Xenopus tropicalis: one gene and its partners. The protein of the gene in region 3 interacts with the protein of the main gene of each other region in a pairwise test. Links are inferred from orthologs where the notes say so. Each region holds a gene or a part of one and is shown on either strand. Other genes may lie near its edges.

What was found.
Region 1: the proteins of psmc5 (region 3) and fos interact in a two-hybrid assay, tested with the Homo sapiens proteins (3 studies listed by BioGRID and IntAct). The link is inferred for Xenopus tropicalis from reciprocal best matches to the Homo sapiens genes PSMC5 and FOS.
Region 2: the proteins of psmc5 (region 3) and rarb interact in binary tests that used the Homo sapiens proteins (3 or more experiments, as listed by UniProt). The link is inferred for Xenopus tropicalis from reciprocal best matches to the Homo sapiens genes PSMC5 and RARB.

The regions. Positions count from the first base shown.
Region 1 is NC_030684.2:82,309,811-82,313,564, forward strand, and holds the start of fos (proto-oncogene c-Fos), read right to left. Parts: upstream 2,790-3,754; 5' UTR 2,705-2,789; coding exon 2,561-2,704; intron 2,072-2,560; coding exon 1,847-2,071; intron 1,730-1,846; coding exon 1,622-1,729; intron 1,420-1,621; coding exon 790-1,419; 3' UTR 1-789. UniProt on the Homo sapiens protein: Nuclear phosphoprotein which forms a tight but non-covalently linked complex with the JUN/AP-1 transcription factor. In the heterodimer, FOS and JUN/AP-1 basic regions each seems to interact with symmetrical DNA half sites.
Region 2 is NC_030682.2:47,514,274-47,517,992, reverse strand, and holds the start of rarb (retinoic acid receptor beta), read right to left. Parts: upstream 2,893-3,719; 5' UTR 2,260-2,892; coding exon 2,103-2,259; intron 1-2,102. UniProt on the Homo sapiens protein: Receptor for retinoic acid. Retinoic acid receptors bind as heterodimers to their target response elements in response to their ligands, all-trans or 9-cis retinoic acid, and regulate gene expression in various biological processes.
Region 3 is NC_030686.2:15,719,585-15,723,338, reverse strand, and holds the start of psmc5 (26S protease regulatory subunit 8), read right to left. Parts: upstream 2,790-3,754; 5' UTR 2,697-2,789; coding exon 2,649-2,696; intron 704-2,648; coding exon 632-703; intron 483-631; coding exon 413-482; intron 1-412.

The DNA of each region.
Region 1 (3,754 bases), on a different chromosome or scaffold from region 3:
TAAAACAAAAACCATCTACAGGAAATCAACGTTTTCATGGAAAACTTGGAAAGACAGTATTACAATCAACGGAAGAAACAGCACGTTCACCATGTGTCCGGCCCTTAAAAGGATATCTATATATGATCTATATATCTGACTTACAAATGAATATCATGGCTGGTACAAGGATATTTAGAGCTAACTCCTCTAAACACCTTGTACTCAGCCAGCACCATAACATTCCTGTGAGCTAGCTTAGACTACATTTCCAAGCTAACAGCACAAGGCTTTTATCAATATCACAATTACCTAAACAGGTTAACGTAGGTCATTGCCACTAGCAGTTAATGTATGGGATACATCATGCTACATATTAACAGAATTCACAACAAGTCCATGCCAGTGCTACAGATCAGTAAGAGGTATCAGGCTCCAGTGGCAGTTGGAAGTAGGAGTCAACTACACAACCATATAAGTTAACAGGGATCTAGTGCTAGTTTGTGATGACTGGGAAGTAGGAGACTCTTGGCCTAGTACAGTGCTCACTGTGATATTTACACTTTTCAAAACATTACCTATATCTGAGCCTAGGTCACATGCTAGTACCATATTTTTTGGATTGACATGCACAGTGAACACTTATGGCAGCAAAGAAGAAGTTCCAAAAGCATGACAGTAAAAGCCACATATGGTGCCTTATTGCATTTTGGAGTCAAAGGAAGGAGGCACCAAAATAAACCAGTTTAACAAGTACAAGTAAAAGTCCCCAGCAGCATCTCACAATGGTTGTGTGAATGTCCCTCAGCATTACAGAGCCAAAAGGGTGGGAGAGTTTAGAGAGTCTGATGACTGCTCATTGCTGCTGCTTCCCCTCCGATGTGCGGCTCCACAGTTGGGGAAGTGGTCAGATTCTGGGTATGTGAAGACAAATGATGTTGTATAGGTAGTGCATGTTGGAGTGCAGGTAACAACTGGTGTGCACAGAGGCTCCATGTCTGCAGATAAAGTGCTATACAGTGGCTCCCATTCTGATGTGTAAAGAGAGCTAGTAAGATCTACATCTGGCACAGAACGTGCTGCATCAGTTACACCTGTGTGAGAAGAGTTAAACAGAAAATCATCCAGTGGTTCAGATTTGAGTTCCATAGAGACTTGCAGCTGGGTGTTCTCCTTTTCAGGCATGGAAGACTGAGAAAGGCCAATGGGAAACAGAGGCTCTGCTACAGGCTCCTGAGAGCTGGAAGAACAAGGGGTCTCTGAAATCAGACCCAGATCAAGAGATGAGGTCAAGTCTTGAAAAGCTCCATCAAGATCATGTGGAATTTTGCAAGCTGGTTTGTGAGCTGCAAGTATAAACTCCAGCTTTTCCTTCTCCTTTAGAAGGCCGGCAATCTCTGCCTGCAGGGCAGATTTCTGGTCCTCCAGGTCATCAGTCTCCTACAAGGGAAGAAGGTGGTATAGTAAGAACCTCAAACAATCAAATCCTCCAAGAATGGAGAGCAATATAGATCCCATTTATGTTTTCCATCCCTCTGCATATAGTCAAACTAATATATATATATATATATATATTATATATATATATAATATATAATCTTAACATTTATATAAACTACTGCCTATTTAGTAGCCTACTTACCGCTTGAAGGGTGTCTGTTAACTCCCGACGGCGGTTACGACACTTGGCAGCTGCCATCTTATTCCTTTCTCGTCTTACTTTCCTTTTTTCTTCTTCTTCTGGAGAAAGCTATAAGCAGAGAAAAGACAGACTGTCAATATAAATAAACAAGTAGCTTATAGATAAACAACATCTACCTACACCTGCATTGCAGAAACTAAAGGAAAACAAAGGTCTGACAGTTACCTGCTCCATTTTTCCTCTTCTTCCCAGGCTCTGACCTCTTCCAGCAGATCCTTTCATAACGCTAGATCGGCTGTAAGCTGGTGTGGACCCATAAGGGTGTGCCCGAGACTGTGATGGGGCTACAGAAGAAATAAGGGTTGGCTGTACAAGCCACTGAAGATCTGGTGAGGTGGAAATGGCAGTGACTGTGGGTACAAAACTGCTGCTTGAATCACCACCGAAGTCCTAAAAACACATAAGTAGAAATAGGAGACTATCAGTGAAGAGAAAATACGTATACAATCGGCAATACTGCACACAATAAGTGTTATGTGTATCTATACAAATATACACACACAACCCAGCCATTGAAATTGATAATCCCACCCGGGTTCCGCATTTCCAATCCTAGCACACGAGCCCGAGTATGACAGAAATAGCTCCGCCGTCACTAGTGACGCAGGAACAGCTCTGGAGTCTCCTGAATGAACTCTGGATTTTTATCAATGGAACCGCTTTACACATACAGTGGGGGGAGGGGCAAGAGAGTGCAAAGACCCTGTTGAAGTCAGGGCTACAACATGAACCAGGATTTGGGTGTTAGTCCCAGGAGCAGTGACTATGGATATTCGGGTGCCAAGTCTAAACCCAGTTACTTGTACCCATACAACCAGTAAAGTAAGCCACCCGCAAACACTTCATCACCCTCTTAAAATCATATATCAGATGACTTACCTGTGGAGAAACAGGTGACCCCATGCTAGAGAAGGAAGCTGCAGGGGACGGGTAGTAGGTCAGGCTGTCCCCGGCTGGAGAGGCACTACTGCAACGGGAAGAAGCTGCATCATATTCGGTGCTGCTGGAGAAGGCGTGATACATGGTGCCCTTTGAGGGTAAGAATGTAAAACCAGCTCCGGGAGTAGCAAGTGACAGAGAAAGACCGTCAGTCCTGGCTCACCAAGCTGTCAAACCACTCCGTACGATGAAGCAATTAGTCTGAAGGAACTTGCCTCCTCTCCAGCTTTTTATACCCTGTCAGAGGTTTTTTTTTTACTTTTTTTCAAAGCCTACGTCACGAGTTAGACCCTACCACTATTCAAAGGGACGAGCAACTCTAGTATCAACTCTCGGGGCTTTCGTTTTCTATTTAATTGTGCTGAATGTCAAATATTCTTCAGTTCTTGACAATGACCTAAATGAATATTCAAGGTAGCATTACCTAACAAACGCTTATTTTTTTGTCTCCCCCCTCGGATTTACCCAATGGTTTCACCGAACTCGGGAATCCAAATGACGCAGATATCCTTATAAGGAAAACATCCTGTTTGAGGGCGGTTTGAGGCGGCTAGGGGTAGGGCTGCCGGGAAGAGCCCTAGCAAGCAAAGACAGACACAAAAAGGGAGGGGTTGAGGGTGCGAATTGGGAGAAAGGTAAAACTGAAGAGTGGAAAAAGGTTACGCAGCCCTTTTGAAAACAATATCCGCGGTATCCGTGTTTAATAAAAAATACAATTTTATGTTTATGTAATACAGGTATACACTGCAATTTAACATAAAAGGCAAACGCTGTACAGTTAAATTCTGCTCTGCATGTTAATGATGTAGACTGTAGAGTATACATGTATGATGCAAGTCACTTTCGTTTATCTATAAAATGAATAGCGATACATTTGTATAATTCATATACCCTGTTCTGCCTATAATACAATTACATTTTGTCCTATGTAAAATATGAAAGTGGCTTAACTAAAGAACTGTGGGCCCCAGTAAAAATTACACTGGTTTCCTGGTTTTCACCTGGGGACCCCTTTCCAAGCTTCCCACCACACTGTGCCCCATATGCCTCCAGCTATTCTGTATAACAGAGATTAATATTGATCTTTGTTGCGCTGACCCCCTCAGCTCCAGAAACAAAAATAGCAAACTGCTC
Region 2 (3,719 bases), on a different chromosome or scaffold from region 3:
TATAGATTGCAAATGGGAAATAAACATCACCTATCCAATGTAGTAAAAAGACAAAAATGGATGTTACTGCACAAATGTAAGTACTATATGGGGGGGGGGGGTCAATAATTGCCTAGATTATCTGTCAAGCTTATGTTTATAGTATATAATTGATTTCACGATAACTGCAAAATTGTAAGTGTAATGATATCCAATACCAAGTCTGGTTTATGCCTTAGATCAATTTTCCAAGTGACGATAAAGCATAATAACAATTGTTACAAAGAATGGCAGCGATAAAAAAACAAAAAAACCCTGGTGACATTAGCATAGCCATTAAACTGTGTAAAATACACAAACTGTCAAGCAGGAAAGCTTTAAATCTCTGAACTTCAGAATGTTACAAGTTGAGGCCCACATTTTAACAAGTGTAAACTACTATGGGACTGTTTATATTTTTTATATACATGTCTACGATGTGGGAAAAAGGTAACAATACCTCAGTGGCAGTTAAATATCGAAACTAACTTATTTAGCAATGTTATTTTCTATTTGTTTCTTGTTTCAGTTACTTTTTTTGTATCTGAGGTTTCTTTGTGGTTATTACCACTTTCCTGTTATCACCCAGACTAAAGATAGGACTTTCACTGCTCAACCTCATTAAATGTTTACCATGACTAGAAACACTGCGATAACTTCCTCTTTCATCCGATTACATAAACAAATCTCAATCTACATCATTCCAAAGAACTAAATAAACAAAAAATAGCCAATGTTGTATATGCCGTATAGTAACCCAGCCCGCCCTGCATTTGGATATGGTTTATAGTATATGAATAGTCTAATCTATGTAAAAATAGAACAATCTTTTATCAGGCTAAGCTATTGACTGCCTTAAGGCGATATTAAAGAAAGTCTTATCCTGGGGTACTTTGAGAGCAGATTTAGCAAGCTCTAATGAGGCCATAGATTTCATGCTAGAATCATAGAAACCAGCTTACTACACCACTGCAAAAATGATATCCACATCTGTCTCTGGATATATATTTTCTAACACATACACAAACACGCATTCAAAATATCATTAAATATGACTGATTTCTAAGGATCGCTTGGACATAGTTAATTGCTATAATAAAACTGTCCCACGGTGGATAAGGGATTCTTTAGTGCATTTTATAAGAATACATTTTGTTGCAAAAAAGTAAAGAGAGAAATTCTACATTTTCATTTAGTCTTACCGAGCACAAAGTGCTCATAAAACAATCAAGTAACAGCATAATTGGAGGAACATCCCACAGCTTAGGTGTCGAACACTGTGTTAAAATCATTGTGATAAATAGCTGGGCTATTTATCTAAATCAGTGTCAGAGCAAAGCAGCATCCTGCAGGCTCCTCTGGCCAGTGAATGGCTTAGTGAATTCTGGCGCCTCTGGTCATTTCTCAAACCTGCAGCCAGGGTGTGAAAAGCACTTCTGCTGTTTACATTATATATGTTCTTCAGCACCGTGTCACCATCAGATAAGAGGATTTAGCAGACCACTAACACGACCTCTCCTCATATACAAGTTTCCTACTGTAAAGCCTCCAACTCAGGCTTGAATTGATGGCCAGACACTTAAGTGACCGTGAGTAATGGCCATTGCCCAAGAAACTTCTTAGCGATAGAAAGGATGCAAATATTGGTTGGCGCTAAAAAAAGGGTTTTGAGTAATGCCGAAAAATAACAGAGACATAAACAAACAAACCAAAAATCATTTATAAAAATTAATTAAAAAAAAAATCCCTTTTTCTGCATTGGAATAATTAATAACTAACTATATATATATATAACAATATAACTTATTATATATATATAATACCGTATATAACTTTATATTCATATATATCATTTTTGACATATCTAATTGCTACTTTTTTTTTTTTTTTAAACACATGCAACATTGTGCAAACTAGCTTAGTGAATATTTTGTCAAAGGTTAGATGAAATAGTAGTACAATGTGTAGGCTAAAAGAGAAGTGAGGGAATGGGAGCTGGTGTCAGTGCGAAGTTGTTCTGCTGGCAGCATGCAATGTGAAGTAGAAGGGAGAATACAAACAGATGGAGGGGTAGGTGCACCTACATTGAGCACTGTGCCGGTGTTGCCAATCCGTCTGTGCCAATCCATTGAAGCATGCTTTCAGAGCTTTCTCCTGGAGCATGCAGGAAGACGGGCTCGCAGTGTAGAAATCCAGCATTTGCCCAGGACTCACTGCCAGAACATCCATGCAGTCAAACATGATTCCCCCTATACAGAATATCAGCGAAAGTGCTTATCCTTTAGGTGCACAGCAAATTGCTATCGAAAAAGTACACCCAACTCCATCAAACTCTGCCCCTTTTTTTGGCACGTAGGCTGTTGGTCTTTTTCCCAGACCAGAATCATGAATTATGACAGACAACACAGCTAAAAGCCTGTAATTGATCCAAATGATCATTTACTATTTTCCAAGCTTCCCAGCCATTCCAGCGGAGCAGGAGGAGAGGGGGGGGGGGAGATGAAGAAATCCAAGCTGTCAGCTCCAGGCAAAATGCATCTAAATTCCTGGAGGTGCTTGTAGCCTTCTGTAGCAGCTATTCAGCTGCTGCTTGTATCAGTGAGCAACTGAGTCGAAAGTCGGAAAAAATAACTAAATTTATGTCATCGAGCAGTACGGTCCCCCCTTCTGTAGCAAATAGATCCTTCTGCTTTTGAACAGCTCACTTCCTACTACTTGTGTCACACAAAATGAAAGATTGAATTGCCTAATATATGCGAGTGAACTTTCCATGAACCCTTCCCAGGCTGCTAACCTTCAAATGACCCAAACCAGTCTGACATCACCAACTCCCAGGATTCTCACACAGCTTAAAGACTAGCAGCCAGCCTGCAGAAACAGACAGGCAGAGGGAGAGCGAGAGAGAGGGACGCAGGCAGCCAGCGCTGCTTCCCCACTCCACACGCTTGCCCTTCTCCTATCTGCTCTTTGCACTTCTCCCACCTAAACACATTTCTTGCACAAACTGCAAGCTAAGCCTGTGACACCTCTGATATTCAATTCTGTGCAGGGCAACCATGACTAAATGGATTTTGTCAGAATTTATTTTTTCCTGAAATGGGAAAAATAGTGACAAGCAATTATTGCTTGTCACTATTTTTCCCATTTCAGGAAAAAATAAATTATTTTTAATTACATTTTTTTATCGCTCACTTTCCAGTCACACTTCTATCTATCTTGTATTTTTCAACACGCAAAAATGAAGGGAGAACAATTTTAAAAAATCCTGGAAAATAGCAAATTTCCGCTGCTGTTAAATGAGGTTGACGTTTCCAGATCGTCCCAGTAGCCAGTGAAAGGCATTTTTTCCCACACAGTAGCATGCATCGGGAGTGTGCTCTAATGATCGCAAATAACCATTAATCCACAGCTATGTCTTGATAAAAGGGCACACTGGGGTGAGAAGTCACATATGCCAAATTTAATCAGAGCTCAGGGCTTTTTCTTTATGACAACAATGAGGCTAAGTACAATCGGGGGCACGGCAGCCGCTGGTTTGGTCTTAATACCACACTGCGGTTCCCCTATGGGGGGAATTCTCTAGCGTTGCTATCTCCTTATCCAGGCTTGTGTGCTACGCCTCGGCACAAGGGGCCACTGTTGAGGTAATAATATTTTCTATTAATTCTTTTCGATGTTGGAACAAAAGAACTATGTTGCAC
Region 3 (3,754 bases):
ATTTCAAGAAACCCGAGTTGTTAAGATCAGACTTGCATAACAAAGAGTCAGATTTTTGTTTTTTAACTAAGACATGGCCTCCCCCATTCACATCTGTTTATGGTCCCATTGACTGAAACAGGTCAACTTCCCCTTCAAATGAACTGAGAATCTTAGTGGTTCACATACTTTTTCCCCAAGCACATATGTCACTTTGGATCACATTCTTCAATAAATAAGTGAACAAGTATAACACTTTGTTGAATTTGGTTTTTGTAATCTAGTTTTAGTACTTGTGTGAAAACCAAATAACATTTTAGGTCATATATATGCAGAAATAGTTCAAGCTTTCAAGCACTGCTTTCTTCTACAAATCTATGAGCGTCATTATATAACTAGCATCTCATCCAACCCAATAATGTAACGGCCATACCTTTAGCGTTCAGTTCATTCCTCTGTGCTTGCAGGCGCCTGAGATTCTGACTCTTGTCATTAACAACAAGCTGGGGACAAAAGATGACTGTCAGCTAGAATAACTGTGTGATCAGTAATGCAACAGCACTACTGAATTGGGTCTGGTGGGTATGTAAAGCTGTACACAAGCAGACACAGCATAGATTAGTAGTTATAGTTCTGTTAGTATAAAAAATACCTGTAGATCTTCAATCTTGGACAAGTAATACTGCCTCAGGCCAATACCTCCACGGGACTCGTCCATCTCCATCTGTGCAGGAAACAGCAGATATTGTCAGCGTCATATAACAGGCATAAGGTACTACTGACAATGGGTGGGAGGACAAGGACACGTCAGACTGTAGTGATTAGTGCAATACCCCTCGTCATGCATCATGGCAAGCCTAACATATGTGGGAAATGCACCACCCAATGGTTCAACAATCAGCTTTACTGTAATACAGGTAAGAAAATAAGTAAACACAAAAGAGAGATCACGTGTTATCATTCCCTTTGTCTGGCTAAAATGATTGTATGAGGTATATAAGTGATATTTAATGTTCAGGGATCCCTGAATAGTTTGGGGGGGGGTGCAGGGGGATCCCTGTGATGCTGGAGGGGGGGGGGGGGGGGGGAGTGTGATGCTGGCGTCCCTGGAATCCTGAGGGAGGAGGGACCCTGAAATGCTGCGACAGGAATCCCTGTGACACTATGACAGGGGGACCCTGTGATGTTGGTGGAAGGCTCACCCTGTGATGATGGGGTCCCTGTACTACTGAGGGAAGGGGCTGACCCTCTGATGCTGTGACAGGGGTCCCTGTGATGCTTCCTGATGGGGGGGATCATGTGATGATGGGGTCCCTGTACTGCTGAGGGAGGAGGGACCCTGTAATACAGAGGGAGGAGGGACCCTGTAATACAGAGGGAGGAGGGATCCTGTAATACAGAGGGAGGAGGGATCCTGTAATACAGAGGGAGGAGGGACCCTGTAATGCTGAGGGGAGGGGGGACCATCTGATGCTGAGGGAGGGGTACCTATAACGCTACCTGATGTAGGGACCTACAATGCTGTGCTGAGGAAGGGAGGACCCTGTGATGCTGATGGTGGGAGGGGTCCCTGTAATTCTTCCTGACACAGGGGCCTACCGTTCTGTGGACCCTGTAATGCTGAGGGAGGGCCCTGTGATGCTGAAGGAGGGGGGGCCCTGTGATGCTGAAGGAGGAGGGGCCCTGTGATGCTGAAGGAGGGGGGGCCCTGTGATGCTGAAGGAGGGGGGGCCCTGTGATGCTGAAGGAGGGGGGGCCCTGTGATGCTGAAGGAGGGGGGGCCCTGTGATGCTGAAGGAGGGGGGGCCCTGTGATGCTGAAGGAGGGGGGGCCCTGTGATGCTGAAGGAGGGGGGGCCCTGTGATGCTGAAGGAGGGGGGACCCTGTGATGCTGAAGGAGGGGGGACCCTGTGATGCTGAAGGAGGGGGGACCCTGTGATGATGGGGTCCCTGTGATGCTGAAGGAAGGGGGGGCTGTGATGCTGAGGGAGGGGGGACCCTGTGATACTGAGGGGGGGGGGGAACCCTGTGATGATGGTGTCCCTGTACTGCTGAAGGAGGGGGGACCCTGTGATGATGGGTTCCCTGTGATGCTGAAGGAAGGGGGGGCTGTACTGCTGAAGGAGGGGGGACCCTGTGATGCTATGACAGGGGTCCCTGTAATTCTGAGCGAGGGGGGACCCTCTGATGCTGCGAGGGGGGACCCTCTGATGCTGTGACAGGGGACCCTGTAATGCTCCCTGATGCAGGGACCCTGTGACGCTGGGGTCCCTGTAATGCTGAGGGAGGGGATACTGTGATGAGGAGATACTGTTACGGTGGCTCTGAGTACAGATGAGGGGATAAGTACAGCTGAGGGAGAGGTTAGGGGCCCTTTGGTTCATAGATTGTGGATTCTAGAAGAGATTCCCTTTCGGCTCTGCCCCGGCACCAGGATGTGAATAAAGCCACACAGGGAAACTAGTACAGCCGCCTGCGCTGAAGCCGGACAGAAGGCAGGACTGTATATGGCACTGGGAGTTATTAGGGAAAGGAGAGAGCTTGTCACTCCTGGGTTACTGTACAGCCGGCAGATATGGGTATAAGGGCGGACAGAAACAGCTCCCGCCGCACAGGCGGCCCTATCAGCCATAAGTCCTATAGACCCAGTAATCCTCTGTCCCCGGTACCTGCTCCATCCCGTCCCCCGCCACCTTGTATTCTCCCGGCGGAGCCATTCTTCGCTTTACCGTGACTCAGGACCGGAAGCGACCCAAGCCACACTGAGATTCTGGAAGTGACGTAGGGAACTAGCCGCCGCGGGGTTCACCTTATGTCACCGACACGAACTGAGCAGCGCCATCTGGCTTTGTGGAGTATGTACTGCGCACTTCCGGGTACTTACAGCTCTCAGGGCGTCTGTAATAGAATATTATCTAGTATCCTGGGAGTAGAGATATCGATTATATTTATATAATATTTTGCTTGGGAAAAATTGTTTCCAAAAAGAGTTAATTGCCTGAAAAGCATTTTTTCTGAGCATAAACGCTTGAAAAAATATTAAATCTGAGACGCACCAAAAAATAATAGTTGCCCTTGATAGTGGCAGTGCCTAAATATGTCCCAGTGGGCCCAGCCATGCACAATTGCCCCTCAGCTGGTCTGCCTGTTCCGCCTATAACCTTCCTAATGCCACGACCCTTTAATACCTCCCAACATTTTGAAAACAGAATGAGGGACAAAAATAAATGCTGCGCGCAGCGTGGCAATTTTTTTACCATGCCCATTTTGCAATCATACCCCCTAAATACCACTCCCATTTGACTAAATGGGTTTTGGGGTCCTGTTTTATGTGTTATTACAGTTTTGCTGAAAAAGGTGAAATTGCCCTTTAAGCTGCGAGTCTCAGTTCCCCTAAAGGTGGCCACACACGCGATTTTTCAAGTCGCAAGGATAGTTCCCACCCTCCACAGAAGTTCAGGGCTGAATTGTCAGATATGGAGGTAGAAACAATAGGATTCAATGGCAATATCGGTCGCCTTGCCGAGTCGCCATACATGCACTGAATATCCAGGGTCGGACTGAGCTGCCGGGACACCAGGAAAAATCCCGGTGGGCTCCGGCTCTAGTGGGACCTGGCGGCCCAGACCCAACCCTTGCTGCCCTCCCTCTGCCCGACCGCTCCTCCCGACGGGTTAAATTATGAGCACTCTGGGAAGGACGTTGGGTGGGGGGTGCTGCGAGGTGGGTTAGGGGGGCCCCAGCGGGGGGGAGACTTAGGGGACGTGGCCGGAGG